Linked DNA regions of Astyanax mexicanus. The protein of the gene in region 1 binds, or shares a complex with, the protein of each later gene. Links are inferred from orthologs where the notes say so. Each region holds a gene or a part of one and is shown in the gene's direction. Other genes may lie near its edges.

Region 1 (7,423 bases):
GCTAAAGTGTTGCTATGGTATCCAGGGTGGTTGCTATGGTGTTTCTAAGTGGTTGCTAGGTGATGTATATGCATATATTTGATTAAATGGTGTTTGCACGTTGCTACGCAACGTGCAAATACATCAATCAGCTATGCACGCTAGGTTGCTCTGGCCGTTCGGGGGTGTCCAAACTTTTGACCCGTGGCTCCATTACACACAGTACTGGGGGGCCAGGGTGTCCAAACTTTTGACCCGTGGCTCCATTACACACAGTACTGGGGGGCCGGGGTGTCCAAACTTTTGACCTAATGCTGTTTTATCCCATAGCTGCTCCATTACACAGAGTACTGGAGTTCTAGCTACCTGTCCTTCGATCTAGCTGCCGTCCTCCGATTGGCCCCATTCATTCCAATGGGGCCACTTCGTACGACAATCGTACGAAATCCGTACGACGTAACTTTTCGTAACGCATATTTTCGGAAAGAGCTCAATAAGTTCTACAGGTCCTCAATTGGTTTCATCTTCGTATTTCAAAAATTGCGACGTCCACGGGCGTGCAAAGTTCTGCCCATTCATTTTCAATGGTCAAAAAAACGCGTACTTACGAAGTTTTTACGAAAAACGTAAGTCCGATCGGAAAGCTGTATACAAGCCCACCATTCCCGATAAGGACGCACGTTTTCTCTTTTGAACGAAGTCGATATTTCGAAAACTGCGGCACTAGTTAACCGGACAAAAAACAGGTGGAATAATAATAATAAGAAGAAGAAGAAGAAGAAGAAGAAGAAGAAGAATAAGACTTAAGAAGATCAGTACTGTGATTGCATTACTGCAATCACACTAATAATAAGAATAAGACTTAAGAAGAACAATACTGTGATTGCATACTGCAATCACACTAACTAGGACTAGGAAACATACGGGCAGCAAGGATACATACAGACTAAGGATATAGGATACAAAATACAGGATACAAAATACAAAAGACAAAATACAAAAGACTCGACACTGAACATTCAAACAGAGGGGCTTAAATACAGGAGGGGAGTGAGAAACACCTGGGCTTGGATGACGAGGGGGCGGGGTTACAAACAGGACACAGGTGAGAACACTAATGGTTAGGACGGGACTAGGGCGGGGCTAGGGCGGAAACAGGTACACAAAACACAACACAAGCACATGGCAGGGAACACATGACAGGTAAACAGAGGGGCAGGAGCACTAGGGAACAAACGAGGGAGAAACATAACACAGACATGGGCTAAACTGTGACAAGCACAAAGAAACACTGAGCTGAACCAAGTCTCTAAAGAACAACCAACAATTAAAACACCAGGAATGTGGAAGAAATGCTAAAAGAGACACCCTAAAAACATTTGAACAAAACACTGACCAAGACTCAAAAGGAGCAGAGCCCCAAAGACATATGGTAGAAATACTAAGAATAACCAAGACTCAAAAGGAGCAAAGCCACAAATACATATGGTAGAAATACTAAGACTAACCAAGACTCAAAAGGAGCAGAGCCCCAAAGACATATGGTAGAAATACTAAGAATAACCAAGACTCAAAAGGAGCAGAGCCCCAAAGACATATGGTAGAAATACTAAGAATAACCAAGACTCAAAAGGAGCAGAGCCCCAAAGACATATGGTAGAAATACTAAGAATAACCAAGACTCAAAAGGAGCAGAGCCCCAAAGACATATGGTAGAAATACTAAGAATAACCAAGACTCAAAATGAGCAAAGCCCCAAAGACATATGGTAGAAATTCTAAGAATAACCAAGACTCAAAATGAGCAAAGCCCCAAAGACATATGGTAGAAATACTAAGAATAACCAAGACTCAAAAGGAGCAAAGCCCCAAAGACATATGGTAGAAATACTAAGAATAACCAAGACTCAAAAGGAGCAAAGCCCCAAAGACATATGGTAGAAATACTAAGAATAACCAAGACTCAAAATGAGAAACAACCTAAAACCATGTAGGCCAGGGATGGGCAACTTCCATGATGGAGAGGGCCACATTTTTTTCAGCATGACCATTGGAGGGCCACATGACCTCGCACTTCAAATAATTGAATATGAAAAACGCTACAAATGATTTTCAATAAGAACAAATTTTATATGAATTTATATCTGTATGTTTACAGCACCAACATTTATCAACAACTATTTTCTGCATATTAATGCATTTTAATACGGCAAAAGACAAACCGTTTGCTTAAAAAAAGTGCAAAAAGGAAGTCCTTCATATCAAAGAACAAAAAGTTTGCTTAAAAAACTGATTGCAAATACAGTAGTTCCTCTGTGTAAAATAAGTTCATTATAACAAGTCCTTCATAAGCAACAAGGACAAAACATTTGCTTATAAAAGTGCAAAAGGCATTTGAACTCATTTATAACAAAGAACAAAAAAGATTTAAAAACTGATTGCAAATAGCTCATTCAATAATAGCAGAAAACTAGACCACAGAGGCCCAACATTTATTGAAGCTAATGAGAGAGCTGTGGTTTGGCCTGCTGGCTCACAATGGACTGGATGTCAATGTCAATTTTCGTGGTTGTTTGGTCAAAAGTAGAATTACGTTTTTTTTGTTGTTTTTTTTTTATTTTTATTATGAAATTATTAAATTATTTTTGATCTATTCGCGGGCCGCACTGAGTGATGACGAGGGCCGTGTGCGGCCCCCGGGCCGCCAGTTGCCCATCCCTGATGTAGGCAAACAAACAACTGAACTAAACCAAACAAGGATGAACGCCAAAGAAACGCTAAGAAGAACCGATACTTAAAAAATAAAACCTCCTAGTAGAATAAGAAAACAAAAAAGGAAAAAATGTTTAGGCAGTTTTGTAGTTAACAGTAAAAGCTGTTTTCAAGCTAGTTTTCTAGTAAATTAATTGGGAGCTTAAAGAATAAAACCCATTTTCACAAAATCCACTCATATATGAAGGAAATCACTTACATGCAGATCTTGAATCAGGTTTAAATACAGCTAAAAAGATAAAGGAACTGTTAATTCAGGAAAATAATGTCGATGGAAACTTACCAGTATCTTCCAGTAAAGATGTTTAGGCTGTAAAATGCTCGCTGGCTGACTGAACTAGTATTAGTGCTGCCAAGTCTGTTCAGCTCATGTTGAACAGGTATAAATATGAGGTAGATATTTTTTAATACTGTTTTTTGTGATGAGAGAACGTATGCAGCTGTCTGTATAAATGCAAAATCATTTATTTACAGATCTTTATTAAAAGGCCCTTAGAAATCCATTATTTTGATACAAGCGGGAGCGCCCTCTAGTGTCTGACCAGGGAGCAGGTTTATGTAGAGGGACCGCCCACTGCTTCATACCTCCACTGATCTCCACCAGATAACCACTGCTCACCGCTAGAGGGAGCCCGCCAGAGAGACCTCAATGAATGGGGTTAAATGAAGCTAAACAGGTAAAACACAAATTAAAAATAGTATAAAACAACGTATTTAGGGGATCCCTAGAATTTCAGAAAGTTAATTGAAGTACTTTGTTAATCAATCAATCAACCATTATTTTGACTCAGAGAAGAACATTAATGCCAACACTCATTTTCAATGTAGTCAAACACTTACAAAAATAGGGATTGACACAACGAAGACAATAATAACTACATTTAATCATTATCATAACCATAAATGAAAATAAATGTTAAGATAACAGTGATAAAATAGATACTATTAGATAAAATAAAACATGAGGTTTAATTGATAAGAAATTACGATAAAAAAAAGATAAGAGATTATTAAAATAAAACAGTACAAAATTAAGCTAAAACACACTTACATAGTACAAAAGAAGTACTATGTAAGTTAAAGGGTTTCAGACAGTAGATCATCTAGCATCACTGCTGGCTGACTGGTTGGTGAACAGGTCCTAGAGATCAGAGATGTAACTACAGTAGTGAAGTAGAACTATTATATTGTTTATGTGCTGCATCGTTACTTGTTACAATTATGAAAATGTTAGGAATCATCTCAAACCCACATTATCACTAAGGCCAGAGTGGTAGATGCTCTGCACTGGCAATGGGTTTGATGAAGCTGCTCATCACTGAATCAAATGATTATCCTGATCTTATAAGAAGACCACACTGCACCCGCTCTGTCTTTCACGCTGCTTTCCACTTTTCACCGCTTTCTGTAATAACTACAGTACTGTACGTTTACTTTCAGAACTTTACTTTGAGCACAGTTTTTACTCGAGTCTGAGTCTCTAGTACTCATATAGAGTTTAAAAACTTTCAATATGAAACATTTATAAACTCTGATTTTGCTCAAACGCTTCATATGAACCCATTCATTTTGGATTCACTCAAAAGCGCCCTCTAGTGGTGTAACAAACCCAGATGAGATTCTTGTGACACTGAGACTTTTATGTTGAAAAATAGATCCTGAAAGCCATTTTGGAAAACTGAGCGTGTAGTAAAGCGTGTTGTGGTAAATTTAAAACTGTGGGAGATACAGTGAGTGAAGCTGTCTAAACTCAGTTGAATGGATATGTCTCCTCCCTGAAACAACACAGAAGTCATTCAGACATGGACGAACATCTAACAGTGAGTTTAAACTGTGAAAAATATTAAACTAGCTGTGATATTGATAAACAGTTAATATGCTGCAGTGTTAATGCCGTATTGTTTGATCTGTGTGTGTGTGTGTGTGTGTGTGTGTGTGTGTGTGTGTGTGTGTGTGTGTGTGTGTGTGTTCTCAGGAGGGCTACAGTGAGCCCTGTAAGCAGTGTGGAGCTGTGTCCTGGGCGCTCTCAGATGGGTGTCAGTTCTTCTGCAGGAACTGCCACAATGTGATCGAGGTAACCACAACAGCTTCAGTCTGTTATGAGGAAAGACCACTTAAGTTTCTGAATCAGTTTTTCTGATTTTGCTATTTATAGGTATATATGAGTAAAATCAACGACATTTCTCCCAAATTCCAAGTAAAAAAATTGTCATTTAACGTTAGAGCATTTATTTGCAGAAAATGAGAAATGGCTGAAATAAAAAAGATGCAGAGCATTCAGACCTCAAATCATGCAAAGAAAACAAGTTCATATTCATGAAGTTTAAAGAGTTCAGAAATCAGTATTTGGTGAAATAACCCTGGTTTTTAATCACACTTTTCATGCATTTTGGCATGTTATCCTCCACCAGTCTTACACATTGCTTTTGGATGACTTTATGTCAGTCCTGGTGCAAAAATTTCAAGCAGTTCAGCTTGGTTTAATGGCTTGTGATCATCCACCTTCCTCTTGATTATATTCCAGAGGTTTTCAGTTTGGTAAAATAAAAGAAACTCATCATTTTTAGGTGGTTTCTTTTTTTCCAGAGCTGTATATATGATTGTGTACGATGTATATGTATGTATTACATGACTTGTTAAATTCAATTCAATTGAAGTTTGTGTGTGCAAACAGATATTGTAGGTGTTATTGACAGTTGTTTTATGGCTTTTCTATTGTTCAATATTTTAATTGTATCATATCAATTGAAACCAAGAAATATATTGTGATATAAACTGTTGACCATATCATTCAACCCCATATCATCCAACCCTGTTATAACTGAGAAAGATTTCAATTTTGTTGTTCTAATTTCACAATCCTTTATTTTCTTCACATTATATTTTTCCTACAAATACTGTATCTAATTTGTGACCTGTCATTTGGTTGTTTACAGAAAACACAAGATGTTGTGGATGTATCCTCATTTATTCTAAACAATAAAATATCCTCCATATCATCAAGCTCACGCAAGAAAACGAGAAGAGGTAAGTCACAGCTGTAATCTGCTCATACAGTATGCTCTGAAAAGATATGATATACACTGCATGTCCATTTTTTCAGAAACCTCATATAATTGTTGAATCCAGTAAAACCCAGGCATTTATCTGAGCACAACAGTGAAATATAACTAATCTGGAACAGCCACATATGAAAAGACAAAGAAGTCCCTTGGCATTAGGATTAGCTGATTTTTGTAGAAATAGAAAAATAACTGGTATTCTATACAAAAAAGTTGTCTTTTGGTCAAGGATCCCTAAGCATTTATGCAAGAATATGTGGTGTGTTGTAACAAAACTGTTGTTTATCTTCTTTTTGCCTGACCCATCAGAAGGTGGACGAGAGTGGATGGTATGTGAAGGATTTCAGTTCATCCTAAAACTTCAGGCAGAAGCTTTGGTTGGTCTGGGTGTGTGCCCACAGTTTAAGGTCAGTAAAGCTCTGCAAATATGTGCAGGTACCAAGATGAGCTTTTATTTATTTAAATAAATTATATTTTACAGACAGATGTGCTCTGGGATTTCTGGAAGCGATACCTTCAGATAACCAGGCAGGCTTACACAAGATCACCAGTGAACAGTTTTACAAATACAGTGGTGAGTGTGGAGCGGTCGTTCTATTGCCTGGGCTTGTCAGGGGTTCCAATTTGCTGTGAAAATTATTGCTCTTTTATGTGAGTGAATTACACACTATACTTTTACATGGTACTCATTTTTGCTATGTTTCTTAAACCAACTCTGCAGTACCTATCCTCTGAGAGTGAGCCGGAGTCTGCATTTCTAAGTGAAGCATCAGATCAGACAGAGCCTATGTCAGCCTCAGGTATGGTTTTTACTTACATTTACTCTTGTCTTTTCAGTTTTCTGGGTTGTGTTGTGTTGGTAGGTTAAATACATGTGTGTCTTTTACAGGACATTCCACTGATGGGAGATCTTCAGTGTGTTCAGGCTCTCTGGATGCCGCATGCTACCTCAGTGCAAAGGAGAGGAGGAGTCGCCAACTCATGAACATGCCCCGGACGCTGGCGCTGTGCCATCTGGCCCTGCTTTGGCTTCGGGAGGCCATCACACTGGCAGATTTGCTCAGGTGAATGAAAAGAGTGTTTTGTGTTGTCATTTTTTTTGTCACGAATGTAGTTTTACTCTTATATATAGATACATAAATATGATATTCAGGATTTAATTGCACAGGTTGTTCTGGGTATTTTTTTTTCTTTATTGTGTTTTTTTTTGTTATTAAATAATTTTATTTAACATAAAAATAAAGACTGTACACATTTCCTTTTACACATTTCTCTACAAGACATTAAAGTGTAGTATTTCTGTGTTGCAGGTTAGTGTCCAGGAGGCTCATTCCTTACATTAACGTCTATGAGGAGTTCCCGGAAGAGATGCAGTTTTATGGCAGGGATGCCATAATCTTTAGAGTGGAGGTGGGCAAACAAAATGATATAGCAGTAGTCTGTGTTAGCAGGTCTTATTTGGCATATAAATGCTGTCTTATGCAATTTTAGACACTTCTGCACAACATGTCTATGAATGCTGATTTCTGAGAACAATTATTTTGCTTTAAAAAGACAGCGGTTGTGCTATGATATTTAACAAAATGCATGTTTTTTTCCATTACTGTAAAA
Region 2 (7,853 bases), about 22 Mb from region 1:
TGATCCAGTAGTTCAGCTGAATACATAGTACATGCCCCAGTAGTACATAGTACACCAGACCCCTTTAATTACTTACTACTGCACTCGTCGTCCGCACATCTCTTAAAGTCGGAAAATCGCCGCTCCAGAGAGGCGTGTGTAAAACGCACACAGAAAAACAGTATAAAAGGGTAAAAACGCCACAGCAGCGCTGTCATGTTGGCTGGTTGGGATAGGGCAGCGGGCTGCCTGAGCGGGGGCACAGCGCTGAGCCGAGCCGAGCCGACACGTCAGCAGATCTGCAGCCGCTGCTGCGTCTGTACCGAGTCTGATGCTCCAGGCAAGCAGGAGAAAAAAGACTGGAGTCATGTTACACAGGATCCGGGAACACTTAAAGACACAGACTCACAGGAACTTCCCCACACTCTGTAGAAGAAAACCAAACAACAAAGAACATTGAATAAGCATAATTGTATGGTTGTATTACATTTTGTATGTTGATGATGGAAAAACGACATTTAAACAACATTAACACGACATTATTGGCTAGCATTAAAATTCTGACATTAACCTTTTAACATGCCTTGTCTCGTATACAGGCTACAGGTGTAGGTGATACAAAACTATTTCTTTCTGCAGTAAAAAAAAAAAAGATTATTCACACTCTGACAACTTTGAGGGCTTTGAAGACTCTTACAGGTTTCTTGAAGAAGCTGCCTGACCACTCTCTTCTCCACTTAATAATATCAGATCAGTAACAGGAATCAAACAAATTACTGCAGGTTTGAAAATAGACATAAAAACTAGACAACAGTAACAAAACGAAAGGTTTGGAGGACAATACAAGTTTCATTTGTATTCAGGAAAATACTGATTTTAAAGTGAAGTTTAGGAAAGTACCAATGTTATGATTATTATTCATTATATTTGTAAAGGGGCAGATTTATTTATAAATTGTAAAATAATTTCTGTTACATTTACAATTATAATTTGTAGTCACTTTTATTACAATAAATGAAAGCTTTTTATATAATGCTTGATTTTTTTTTAAAGATTAAGGTGTGTAATATCAGGGTGAAAATGAACAAATATTCTAATCTGTTAAATCAACGTTCATTTAAAGGTTTTTATGTTTAAGGCTCTTCACCACTCACAATGATTTAGCCGAAACGTGCTCCCAATTAAATAATAATTATTGTTATCTGTTTTAGACTGGACTCAAGTCAAAAAAAGAACTTCTTCAAAGAGAAGCAAAGAAGAGACAGTGATCTGCAATGATCTGGGGATGCTTCAGCAAGGCTGGAATTGGGCAGTTTGGTCTTTGCGAATGACGCATGAATCAAGCTGCATACAAGGTTATCCTGGAAGAAAACTTCCTTCTATCTACTCTACCAATGTTCCCAACTCTGGGGAATGTTTTTCTTTTTCTATCAGGACAATGCTCAATTCCACACAGCTAGATCAATTAGGGTGTGGATGAAGAACCACCAGATCATGGTGTCATGGCCAGCACAATCTCCAGCCCTGAACCCCATTGAAAACCTATGGAATGTAATCAAGAGGTAGATGGTCACAAGCCATCAAGCTGAACTGCTTGAATTTTTTGCCAGGAGTCTCATAAGTGGCAAAGCAGTTTGAAAGACTGAAAGACTCTTTCTTAGTTACTTTTGTATTGTTGTTTCTAAATAAATATATTAACTTTTTTTGTTTGCATTATTTAAGTTTGAAAGCACTGCACCTATTTTGTTAATTTGACCTTTTCTTATTTTCTGCAAATGTATTATTTTTTATATTTTAAATATACAATGTTTTTATTTGGAATTTGGGAGAAATGTCATCAGTAGTTTCTAGAATAAAATCACAATGTTTATTTTACTCAAATATATACCTATAGATAACAAGGCTGAAGTTTGTTTGATATTCGCAGCTCCAGATTAGATAGTTGTTATGCAAGAAGCAACCCCAAAGTTAATTGAGAAAGTGATTTAGTTTTTTGTACATTGGTAAATAAAATGGAAAAAAAAAATCTGAGAGCTCAAACTGAACTGTATCCTGTCATCCAGATTTTATCTAGGCCCTGCTAACCCCAGGGTCTCATAACTGCCCACCCCACACACCATGTGGGGTGAACATGAGCAAAGGCCAGCACGGTAGTGGGGAGGGGGGATAATCGTGCTCCAGCATGGTTTAAACAAAGCGTGCCCAGTGTATGCCATAGACACTCCTACCTATTGCTGCTCCACACTGTAAATATAAAGTCAAAGAGACTCATCTGCTGCACAGTTTGTGTTGATCATTCTTTAGTTCTGTAGTTCAGTGGGTACCGGACACTTTCTAATGGAGGCTGGCCACAGGATATGTTTAAAAGTTGTCTGATTCAGTTGTACCAGCACAACACAAACTAATAACACACAACCACCATGCCAGTGTCACTGCAGAGCTGAGAATGATCCACCAATCAACCATCAATGCAGTAAAGAACATTGAGATCTCAGAGCTACATATGCTGCCTTTAGGACCACAACTTTTCCAGGCCGTTGCAAAAGAAGGTACTGGTACCGAACTGGCCTGCCTGCAGTCCTGATCTGTTCCTGGTAGATATCCCTGTACTGTTGCACATCTTTAGATGAAGAATGAGACAAAATAACACCCGAAACACTTAATCACTTGATATCCTCTGTGCCTAAATATCTTCATAAAGTCCTGTGATAAACAATGGTAAGATTACAAAGTGGGAAATGCTTTACTGTCCTTTTGGAATATTTTGCTGAAATGTGTTTCAGGGCTGTTACTCAAGAATTAATGAACAATAATAAATCAAATGAACAAAAAAACATAAAGATAAAAATGTAAGACATTTTTCTTATTTGGGGTTTTAAATGTGGTCACAATTACTCCCTATATAAGGTATAATGGATATTTTCATAATTCCTGAAAATTGAATATAAAATACTGCACAACCAGTTAATATAATCCAAGTTCTCACTGTTTTCAGGAAGTGTGAGAAATGGCACATTGTGTACATAGGCTTGGTGTGTATTTCTACAGGTTTACAGCTGCTTATCTATCTTCTCTAAAAGGAATTCATCTGAACCTGAAGTGTGATCTTATCTAAGCCATAAATAAAACTGATTAAAGAAATGCACAAAATTGCATAATTATAGTCATACATTGTTTTTTTTTCACTTATATTTTAATTAATTGGAGCTCACCAGCTTGTGTGAACAGTTATATTGTATAAACGATCCACAATCAATTTAATCCTTAGATGCATAGTAAGTCAAAAATTACCCAAACATCTTTCTTGCAATATCTTCAAAATGAGAAGTTCTCATTTCATATTTCAGATATTCCTTAAATAATATATTACTGGAATCATGCCACATTCATTTTAACTTACCTTTTATACATTTTACTAAAATCTACTAAGTCTTTTGTATTATCGCCCCAATGGTGGTCAAGAATTACCCGCATTAATATCCTGTAAAAATGCATGGGAACAATTGATTATCAGCTGTGACAGAAATAAATATTTTGTGGACCACATAGATGATATCAAAAATGTCACCCTTTAAGAATATTATTTTACCTTAATTTTTTTAACCCCCACCAAAATGATGTGTGTATGTCTAATTAAAATATATGTGTGTGTGTGTGTGTGTGTGTGTGTGTGATTCATGTCTGTGAAGGAGTGTTTCTTATCATAAAAATAGCTTATTTTTCAGTTTTTCAGCAAGTGTGCTTCTTGACAAATAAAACATGATCTCTTTCTGTTTCCCTTAGACTGTCTATGTGAGAAATCATTTACCATGTCAAGTAGTACAGGCCTTAGTGTCCAACATTGCTGTGATGAGTGAAGCCTCTATACAGCAGCAAATAGAAATCAAGATCTCTGGTGCTGCATGCTCGTGTCGTGTGCAATTAAAATGTTTAAATTCAAATGTTTCATTAGAATGTTTGCTAATTTTAAGCTAAATGAGTCAAATATTCCATTCTAATTTAGAATGTATTTAAAAAGTTGATCTGAAGTCATTCTGAAATAAATAAATAAAAAACTAGACATATGAAACTTGGCCATGTTATGTTATCTGTTCTCAGCCTGAATACCATTTGCTATTTTTTGAAAACACAACAGAACTTCTAGACTTTTCTCACATTCATTTACATAAGACAACCGGACATCAGGTGAACGAATGTGTACGGTTTGAGCCGCATCTACAGTATACAGCAATATATAGCAGTATACAGTTTTCAGTGATGATCACCTGCTATTAGAGAAGAGCACAGTGGCTACACTTTTACTCTTTCTTTAACAAGAATGACCAACATATAATGTCTGTGTGCCATTCTAGGTGAGCACAATGCAGGCCCCCTTGTGAAAAAGTGTTTGGCCCCCTAAACCTAATAACTTGGTTGTGCCACCCTTGGCAGCAACAACTGCAATCAAGCTTTACCGATAACTGGCAACCAGTCTTTCACATCTCTGCTCTGTGGAGGAATTTTGGTCCACTCCTCTTTACAGAAATGTTTTAATTCCACCATATTGGAGGATTTTTGAGCATAAACATCTTGTTTAAGATCATGACACAGCATCTCAATCGGACATTGACTAGACCACTCAAAAACCTTCATTTAGTTCATTAATTTTTCTTTAAATGACTTTATTCTACTTCCCAGAATTGATGTAACACCCTGGATTAGTTACTAATGAGTGTAGCTCCATTCACTGAGGACTCAGTCGCGGACTCCCTCTAGCGGAGTGCAGCAGTGCTCTGAGGAGGAGGCAGGAGGTGGGTAGACGCTCTGGTTCCTCTCCGACGGTAGATGGCGGTATGCGCTGAAACCATGCGGTGAACCTGCAGTTAGTCTGTAGAAAAACAAAGAGCACGTGAGTTTCATACGAGCGGGAGACGCGCTGTAGATAGAGAGAGAGGCCACACTCAGATAACTCCACAGCAGCAGAGCCCCTGTACGAGCTCTTACCACACAGCCCCTCTCACCAGAGAGAGAACTGAGAACACTGAACATACAGGACTGTCTATTGTGAGTCTGTCGGTTATGGATGATATCGAAGCAGAGCTCGGTATTTCTCGATCAGTAGGAAATGAAGACTTTTCAGACTCTTCAGAGGATGAAAGAGTTGCCAGGAAGATCAGACCGCCTATTCTACTGCACTCCTCCACCGCTCAGGGTAATGTATCTTAATAAAAATACACTAATCTCAGCTGCTGCACCACAATAAAAAACACTTCATATTCAGTTTTAACTGGTAAAAACTCAAATTACACATCAGATTTGACTAGAAAAAAACGCCCCTTGCAGTGATCAGCAATACAATATTTACCAGTAATAATATCAGATCTACAGCTCTATAAAATCATTCTCACTACTCATACTGTCAGGAACACATCCTGAGTGTAATTCTGACTAGTCATATGATATCCCTGATTTACACGGAATTTCACTTTTTTATCTACAGTTACATTTTACCAGTTAGATGCTCTTAAGTTAATTGAAATTGAATGAAATTGTAATTCCAGGTAGCCTATATACACTGTAATTCAACTCAGGTATTGACATCTACAGTTCAGGTTTCGATTAGTAATAATATTATTATTTCCTGGTAAGAATAACAGTGTAGATGTGTGGAACTAGTACTACATTATTTTACTAGAAAATTGTAGATCTTTGAAACTTTAATGTTTTAACTAGTTAAATATAATTATAGAGCAAAGAATGTGAGATTACTTGTTAGTCAGTGGTAACCTGACTAGTCAGAATTACATTATGGACGTGTTACTTATACTGTCTAAAAAAATGTAAGGGAACACTAAAATTCCAGTTGAAAATCTTTACAGATATAAATTGTATAATAAGTTGGGTGGGCAGAAAATCTAAGTAAAACATTGAAATATTAGGCTCATCCAATTTCTGTAAGTTTAATAACAGAAACTCAATGTTTTTTCAAATCCTTCATTAAAGTGCACACTGGTGACTGGGGCTGGGGAAGGAAATTTAATTCAATATTTTAGATTGGAAACGTGAATGCCTTTGGGAAAAATCCTATGCATACTTAGGTAGTATGTATTTAGCATATTTAGTTTGAACATTAGGTGAGCAATGTTTTATCCAGTGAGAGGAATCTGTCTTATATGTTCATTTTCCTGTAAATAAGGGAAAATTATTAAAAATATATTTTTATGTGCCCATTGGAAAATCCAAGTTTCCAACCAGTGAATATGAATTTGTGTATGCGTTTTTGAGATTTCCAACACAAAGGCAGCATTGAGCTTGTTAATGTATGTGCCTCAGGCTATGCTTGTAGGTGAAAGGGTACATACACTTGATTGCAGACATTACTTATTTGTATTTTCCACTTACAATAATTATTTCATTTTAGCAAGGGCTAAAGAAAGTGGTTTTCACGAATCTTCAAGACTATGTCTGAAGGCCATAAGAGACGCTATGCTGCACCATCATTGGCAAGAGGCAGCACAGTACTTGTCTGCTTACTCTCAGACACTGGAAGATACCACAGTCAACAAGCAGTCACTAGCCTGTGAGGTAAGCAATTCTCTTTGAGATTACTTGGATTTCTGCGTAAATTGGTAATTAAATGTCACAACAATAGACAAACACAGTCTGCTTAAACTAGTATCACATATGTTTGCATGGTTTTATTGAATAACTGGTTGACCCTCCTTTGGCAGCAAAAACATCAACCAAACATTTCCTGTAGTTGCAGAGCAGACCTTCACAACGGTCAGGAGGAATTTTGGATCATTTATCTTCACAAAACTGTTTCTGTTCAGCAATATTCTAGGGATTTCTGGTGTGAATCGCTCTCTTGAGGTCATGCTACAGCATCTCAACTGGGTTAAGGTCAGGATTCTCCAGAAGGATTTTTTTTTTCCGTTGAAGCCAACTAAAATGTTAGCATGTGCCAGAGATTTCTGTACGTCTTTAGCTGACACTCTAGTATTCTTCCTCACCTCATTGATCATTCTGCGCTGTGCTCTTGCAGTCATCTTTACAGGACGACCACGTCTAGCGAGAGTCGCAACAGTGCTGAACTTTCTCCATTTTTAGAGTGTCTGTTTTACCGTGGACACATGAACATCAAAGGCTTTTAGAGATACTTTTGTAACTCTTTCCAGCTACATGCAAGTCAACAATTCTTGAACGTGGGTCTCCTGAGAGCTCTTTTGTGCGAGGTATGATTCACAATCAATGCTTTTTAAGAACAGCAAACTCAAAACTGGTGTATGTTTTTTAGGGCAGGGCAGCTTTAACCAACACAATCACCAATCTCATCACATCCTGGTTCCAATTAGCTCTTAGAAAAGTCATTAGCCTAGAGGTTCACATAATTTGTTAACATGTTGTGTTTAATGAAATCAGGCAAACATATATCTTTTTTGTGGTATTAGTTTAAGCAGATTGTGTTTGTCTATTGTTGTGACTGATGAATATTAGAACACATTTAATGATCAATTTATGCAAAAATCCATGTAATCCCAAAGAGTTCACATACTTTTTCTTGCAAATTTATATCCCAATGTTTATAAAAGGCAATCTCATAACTGTGCAGTAATTAAGGATATTGTACTAGTGTTAACTGATGCTCTGTAAAATACAGGTACAAAGTGGGACTTTGTGCTGAAACAATGACATACCAACTGATGTTTTGAATTGTTTGTTTAAATGACACCATTGTTTACAGTTTCAAGTGTTTTCTTTAATCCTCAGATTATTTGGAGACTAGGCACAGAGATTCTTCAGCATCATCCAAACTCTCGATTGGAAGATTTTAATGCTTTGTATGAACAGATGAAAAACTCTGGAGTGAAAAATTATGCTAAGGTATTATTATT
Region 3 (7,039 bases), on another chromosome or scaffold:
CTGGGTGGGGCGCTGAGGAGGTTCTCCAGCCGCCTGTCCAGCGGGATCAGGGCGTCTCTGAGGAGGAACCAGCCCAACAACAACAACGCTGCTGGAAGAAGATCTGGAGCTGCGAAGAGAGGAGGCCCGGTGACTCTGGCCATGAACGCTGAGGATCTGAGCACTGTGTGTGAATCTGTGACCACTGTGGAAACTTCTCACACTTCAGCCATATGAACAGTGTCTTCACATGACCTTTCTTCAGTGATGGACATCACGTGGGATCATTTAAATAATGATTCTGTAAATTAACTCGTTTTAAAATGTTATTTCAGTAAATGAAGGTGTACACTCAGTTAAGATGTGTAAACCTTTGTTTTGTTTATAGAAGAACATATGCTAACTTATTAATAGCATCAGTAGTGTTATTCAATATTAGTTATTTTTCTTTTTGCTGCCCGTTACGTTAAATTTCATTAAATGTCATTTTAAATTACAATGTTAAGAACTACTACTAGAAAAAAAATATTTAAGGATATTCATTTTGTTAATAAAAACTAAGATGCTACTTAAGTTAGCTTACTTACTGCTAAGCATCAGTAGGAGGTTAGTTTAATAATATCTACTTTACAGTACTGCACAGTTTTTCCCCACACAATACATTTACATGTTCCTAAATGCTGTTTTAACTAGTATATAAATTAAATAGTATATATTTAAATGAAGGCATACATTCATTTAAGCTTTGTATGCCTTTGTTTAGTCTTTTTAGCTAATTATGCTAACATATTACAATCAATATAGTGTTTCTTTGGCTAGCTAACACTGCAAATTTTTTTGGCACATATTATGTTTAAATATTACTAAAAGTAATTTGAATATTTATATAAAACATTCTTTTAATTGTTAAATTGTAGAAGTAGTACACAATGCTAAATAAGAAGAGCTATACATTTTGTTTTTTTATGGTAATAGTTGATGCTGTAAACTTGCCTTTATTGTTGTTTGTGCTGATTTGGCTACCAATTATTTAAAAAATCTTTACATATCAATTAAGTATAAAATTACAGAAATTACACTTAATATTGGCATCACAAGTGATTTATTGTCCCAACATTGCTGTAGTATGACCTGCATTTTGTTACCTGTATTGTTTAACAGTCTTGCACAGGCTGAACCAACATTTCTTTATGTGTTTTTGACTCTTTGTTGTTAATTTTCCCTCAAAAATGGGCATTTCAGTTTGAGGAAGTACAGTCTTCAGAGAAATGAGAGCACATTAGCCTTCTTATCAGTCTGTTAACCATTAACCCCATTTTACTGAGGACCTGCCCAGTGCAAAAACCACACACTTAAAATGCGGGATGGAAAAATGATGTGTAACACCTGCTAGCAGTAGTGGAAGTTTCTGAACACACAGGACTGTCAGGTTAATAACGAAATAATTATCATGTAATTGAGAACTGTACAGAGAGACCATATTTACCGTTCTTTTTTTTTCTTTTTTTTTTGTATGCAGTTTGTTTTACAGTGTTTTTATACCTGTTTTTAATCAGCATTGCTGAGAAGATTCATTGCAGAAGACTAAATGATGAATATAATTATTTTGTTGTTATGTTTGTATTTGTTTACACTATGTTGATCAAATTTAATTTAGAATTGCTCAGGGTTTGACTGATTTTCAAAATATAGTGTATTACAGGTTATTAATGAGCTGTTTCAAATTCTAATTAGTAATCTGTTAGACAACAATTTTCAATGTAAAGCAATCGTATTAAATTTTGTTTTTGTAATTTGCAATGTTTTTTATGTTCTATTTAGAATTTACGTTAACCATCATTTACATTTGTGTCATTTTACTGATCGTTATGTTTTGTTTCTGAGACCCTGCCTTGTGAAATAATTAATAAATGAAGCAGTATTTTTTTATCTGGTGTTTCATACTGATTTTAATGGGGAAACCTTCACTGATATCCTTTTCTATGCTAAATTACACTCATAACCTTTGACCAATGAGGATCGTTGAATTGTAGATACTTCCTCTTATCTTCTGTTTGCTCTTATAAAATAGGAACGGCTGGCAGAGATGGTCAGAATTAATTGGTGGCAGTTTAAGTTGTCTACTCATATATTGTATGTATAGTTTAGTATACTGTTGTGTTATGGTTCAAGATTTTTGTATTTTATGTGCAGTTCAGATTCCTGCTGCTGCCCAGAGTTAAACACAAACAAGTAAACAATCAACTGTGATAGAAATATCTCAAATATACAGAAGGGAAAATAACTATTTGATTTTGTAAGTTTATTCCCTTACAAGGGCAGGAACAGTCTGTATTTTTAAGGTAGATTTATTTTGACAGCGACAGTCAGAATATAAAAAAAATCCATTGAATTAAGGTTATAAATTAATTTGTATTTTTACCAATTTGTATTATTACTAATTAAGCTATGCTAGCACTAGTAATGCCCCAACACCAGGAGGGTGAAGACTAGCACATGTCTCCTCCGTTAGCTGCTGTGGAGTAGCTAGTGCACTCAGCGGAAAGTACAGAGACTTGGCTCTGATACATCAACCCACAGATACCTCGTGCTGACCAGGACCAGGATTTGAACCAGCATTCTCCTGATCATAGTGTCTGCTGGACCACTCAGAGTCCCAGTGTTAATTTGTATTTGATTATGTGAAATAATAGAACATGACTTTGCAGAAAATTTCCAAATCCTAAAGGTTTAAGGGTGTCAGCAACTTTCCACATATTTTTTATGGGATTAAGGTTTGGGGACTGGCTAGGCCACTCCAGTACAATACAGTACAGTACAGTGTCTGTCCCCGTTAAAAGTAAACGTACCATAAAATTATAGCCATATAGACATATGTTCATGTCTTTTTAAACTTGAGTAAACTTGCTTAATCAGCAGGGGATTAAAAAATATTCACCCAAAAATATAAGTTGTTTGACCAAAAAAGGTTGGTTTATGATGTTGGTTGTTGAAGTAGGTCATCCAGAAAAAAATAATCCTACAACTATTCTAGCTAACTAAAATCAATCTGGTTGACCACCATAATCATGATTAACTTGCTTACCAGCATGACAGACTGACTTAGGTAGCCGACCAGTAAGCCAGTTTAGTCCATTAGACAAAATGAAATAGAATCCATGTCTGAAATGTCTGAAACTCTAAAAGCTCCTTCATAAAAATGTATTACAGCAAATGGTTATGAATACACTGTTTGATTGGTGGGTTTGGATAGTAAATAAAATATCAAAAGTATCAAGAAATTAGAGTTTGTAAGTTTTTTTCAAAAACAAACCAAAGATTTCAAAATAAACATATTCTAAATGTGTTAGTTTGACCCCTGAATGATGCTCAGAATTTTCTAAATTGTGTAGACTACATGTATTGTGTAAGCAATACATGTATTGTGTGTTAAACATGTTAAAATAAGTTTGCAAAATTAATTCAGTGAAAATCTGTGAATACTATAGAGATATTTTCATCAACAGCTGAAATTCATGTATTTTCAGAGAATTAACTACCTTGTGAACTACCTGAAGGTACTGAACTTTTAAAAATTTATTAATATGAACTTTTTTTCTTGCATTATTTGAGGTCTGAAAGCTCTACATCTTTTTTGTTATTTCGGACATTTCTCATTTTCTGCCAATAAATGCTCTAAATGACAATATTTTTATTTGGAATTTGGAAGAAATGTTGTCCGTAGTTTATAGAATAAAACAACAATGTTTATTTTACTCAAACATATACCTATAAATATCAAAATCAGAGAAACTGATTCAGAAACTAAAGTGTCTCTTATTTTTTTCCAGAGCTGAATGTTCAGCGCTATGCAGTATTGGAAACCTGTCAGGAGCATCGGCTAAAAGCTCTGTATTTCAGAGTGCTGGGGGTGAATGGAGGTGGTCTATTCGACACAAGTTTTACTCGTTATCGTGTTTTACTACAACCAGTCCATTTTCACTTCGGATTTCTCGTCTAATAAACCTCTTAGACCGCTGAGACCGGTGTTTTTACTCCAGGCCGGCGGGGGCGCTGTGAGAGCTGGCGGCTCTCCGCGGTTCTTGTTGTGAGAAGTCCAGCATGGTGCATGTGGCTCTCCAGTAGCAGCTGTAGGATTTTCTAAATATTGTGATTAAAGCAGTTTATCAGCGCGCGTATGGTAATGAGGTAGGTAATTTATATGTGTTTAATTGTTACAGTAACTGAAGAGTCGCGCTGTGGTGAAGCGACCCTTTATTAAACCTGTCCGCTTTACTGTGGACTAGTCCGGGCATGTTTATCAGAGGAACGCGGGGATTTAACACACTAACACACACTCATATCCGCGGGGAACAGGAGGGCTGGACATGTGCAGGGAAAATGTAAATATTCTAATGTCAAAAAATATCTTATTTAATAAGATATTTGCTATCTGCTTTTTTTATTTTCCTGTTCTACTTTAAATGCCTTAGGTACCAGAATGTAGTTAACTAGCTGCTGTACTGTTTAAGGTGAAACGGCAATTCCAAAAAGAAATCTGAATTAATACCTTAAAAAAATTAAAAGTATATATTGTGTTTGTTTTATTAATACTTTACAAAACACTACATGTGCTTCATATTTTTTTATATCTTTTTAATACTCTTGAATCACCTTAAAGTTATAACTACATTTGCAGAATCCTCTTAACACCAAAGCTATATCACCTGTATCAAGCATGTTTTAGTTAACATATAAGATACTAGACCTATAATAGTTAACTCTAAATTGAATGTTATAAAATGTATAATTATATATATATATATATATATATATATATATATATATATATATATATATATATATATATATTGTTTATAATTATAGTTTTTTTTATTATTATTAACTAAACAATTCCTGCAATTGTCAACATAGTTTTTTACTATATTTAACAGCTACATAAGCACTGGCTGCAATTTTTTTTTCATTAATATAATAAGGTTTATACTGATCAACAGTTTGCTGTGTTGCGATTTGTTTTCCAGATCTGATTGGTTATTCTTTAGAGGTTTAACATGGAAGTGGAAAGAGATTTTATGAACAGTCCTCCAATGAAAACAGTGCGATTTGGAAGCAGTGTAATCAACACGTTAGCCAAGGTGAAACAGGTAAGTTTTAATTCTGAATTAAATAGTTAAACAGTACTAGTCAAAACTTTGGACACACCTTTAATTTAGTTGTTTTTTACTTTAAAATGGTCTGCGTTGTAGATTAAGGTTAAAGTAATCAAAAATATGAAGAAAGGCATATAGAGTTTTTTAGAAAACTAAATAAGTGTTAAACAAATCAGAATATGTTTTATATTTTAGTTCTGTAAAGTAGCCCCTCTTGATTAGATGCCTGATTTGCACATCTTGGCTGGATTTTCTCTGTCAGCTTTATGAGGTATGTGAGCGTTCAGCTAACAGCGGTCCTAAACTTGTCAACAACACAGTGAAGAGCTCTATTTGAGTAAAGAAAACATACTTAATAAAATGAAGGTGTCAAACTGTAAAAAATGATTTTTTGATTGTTTTACACTTTTAAGTTCACTACACTATTCCTTTATTTACTATATCCTTCATTAATAGTGTTGAGGACTTCAATATTAATTTGCAATGTTAGAAAATAAATAATGGACATTGAATAAGAAAATGTTTCCAATAAGTTACCCTGAAAGGAGAGGGGACAGATGACTGAATCAGTTCATATTTGCTACAAAACATATACAAATACAGCAGAACAGCAAGGCTTTTTACAATTGGTATGTATTTAACGTCTCTCTTTTTTTTTTTTTTTTTTTAAGGGAGATACAGGTGATTATGAGCTGATAAAGCATCAACTTGCGGACCCGGACATCAAGGTACGAGTGTTTCTAAAGAAGTTCAATAAAAAATGAGTAAGGAATGCACAGGTGAATATGATTCACTGAGCCACAGCCCATCTCTCCTCCTGTTTCAGGATGCTCAGATTGTTAACTGGCTGCAGGAGTTCAGGAGCTGCGTCACTATGCTGGGAAAAGAACACGAGCAGCTGATCTATTCTGTCCTGGTAAGAACTACCATCATCACTATTTAGCTGTTTCAGAGTTAATCTATTTAATTCATTAGTTAATTCACTCACATTGTCAGTCAGTTGTTCACTTATTCATTTGCTCACTTGTTAAGTTTTCACTTTTGTATTTGTTTGATTACTCACTCACTCGCTTGTTTGTTAATTGTTTGGCTCACTCAGTTGGTCATTTGTTTCTTCATGTCCTCAATCTGTTACCCACATAGTCATGTATTCAATTTACTAATTTAATTACACACTCACTGATTGGTTCATTTCTTTACTTAATCTGTTGCTCACTCACCAAGACATTTAGATGCCTACTCATTAGTTTGCTCGCTTGTTAACTCTCTGAAATGTTCACACGTTGGCTCACCTGTCTGATCACTCTTTTGTTTTACTTGCTCTTGTCACAGTTGTTGACCTTCTAATAGGTCCTTCACAGAATAAGATGCCATAACAAGGTGACAGCTAGGGCTGGGGCGGTATTGATTTTTTATAACCGCGGTAAAAAACTAACGCATCACCGCGATATTGCGGTTAACCGCGAGACCCCAAACCAACCCCCCCCCCCCCACCCACCGCCCCCAAAAAAAAAAACACCACAAATTTATTGGTAACAAATCTTTATTCTTCAAACCATACAGCCTACATACAACCTCTACATAAACCATAAATACAGCATAACAAGTGAACATATGCTGCCTGTATAATTCGTCATTGTACAGCTAACCTGTCTTTTTCCGAGCAGACTTTTTGAAGGAGGAGCTTGTCCGCCTACCCCTTCTCCATCCATAGATCTATTTTAGGGCTGGCCCGAATAGCGGTTTTGAGCTCAGGATATTCGGCAGTAATTGGTAGCGAATATTCTAATATTCGTTTAAAAAAAAGACGAATTAATCCACAGCAAAATTTTCCACTGACCCCCGGCCCCGAAAAAAATATATTTCTCACCCCTTTCCTCGGGCCGTTCGGGCTCAAGGCTCAAGAA

The links. Proteins that work in one complex are often made in the same cells at the same time.
Region 2: taf1b (region 1) and taf1a share a complex: the UniProt entries of both Homo sapiens proteins name them as parts of the transcription factor SL1/TIF-IB complex. The link is inferred for Astyanax mexicanus from reciprocal best matches to the Homo sapiens genes TAF1B and TAF1A.
Region 3: taf1b (region 1) and rrn3 share a complex: the UniProt entries of both Homo sapiens proteins name them as parts of the pol I pre-initiation complex. The link is inferred for Astyanax mexicanus from reciprocal best matches to the Homo sapiens genes TAF1B and RRN3.

The regions. Positions count from the first base shown.
Region 1 is NC_064408.1:76,081,631-76,089,053, forward strand, and holds the start of taf1b (TATA box-binding protein-associated factor RNA polymerase I subunit B), read left to right. Parts: upstream 1-4,405; 5' UTR 4,406-4,552; coding exon 4,553-4,570; intron 4,571-4,725; coding exon 4,726-4,824; intron 4,825-5,686; coding exon 5,687-5,777; intron 5,778-6,121; coding exon 6,122-6,219; intron 6,220-6,293; coding exon 6,294-6,386; intron 6,387-6,533; coding exon 6,534-6,612; intron 6,613-6,701; coding exon 6,702-6,876; intron 6,877-7,122; coding exon 7,123-7,222; intron 7,223-7,423. UniProt on the Homo sapiens protein: Component of RNA polymerase I core factor complex that acts as a GTF2B/TFIIB-like factor and plays a key role in multiple steps during transcription initiation such as pre-initiation complex (PIC) assembly and postpolymerase recruitment events in polymerase I (Pol I) transcription.
Region 2 is NC_064408.1:54,374,734-54,382,586, forward strand, and holds the start of taf1a (TATA box-binding protein-associated factor RNA polymerase I subunit A), read left to right. Parts: upstream 1-4,853; 5' UTR 4,854-5,037; coding exon 5,038-5,170; intron 5,171-6,379; coding exon 6,380-6,543; intron 6,544-7,728; coding exon 7,729-7,842; intron 7,843-7,853. Other genes in the region: mia3 (transport and Golgi organization protein 1 homolog), read right to left, coding at 77-197. UniProt on the Homo sapiens protein: Component of the transcription factor SL1/TIF-IB complex, which is involved in the assembly of the PIC (pre-initiation complex) during RNA polymerase I-dependent transcription.
Region 3 is NC_064426.1:14,746,690-14,753,728, reverse strand, and holds the start of rrn3 (RNA polymerase I-specific transcription initiation factor RRN3), read left to right. Parts: upstream 1-4,039; 5' UTR 4,040-4,167; intron 4,168-4,268; exon of another isoform or gene 4,269-4,361; intron 4,362-5,003; 5' UTR 5,004-5,033; coding exon 5,034-5,126; intron 5,127-5,803; coding exon 5,804-5,860; intron 5,861-5,958; coding exon 5,959-6,048; intron 6,049-7,039. Other genes in the region: si:dkeyp-72e1.6 (transmembrane protein 238-like), read left to right, coding at 1-216. UniProt on the Homo sapiens protein: Required for efficient transcription initiation by RNA polymerase I (Pol I). Required for the formation of the competent pre-initiation complex (PIC).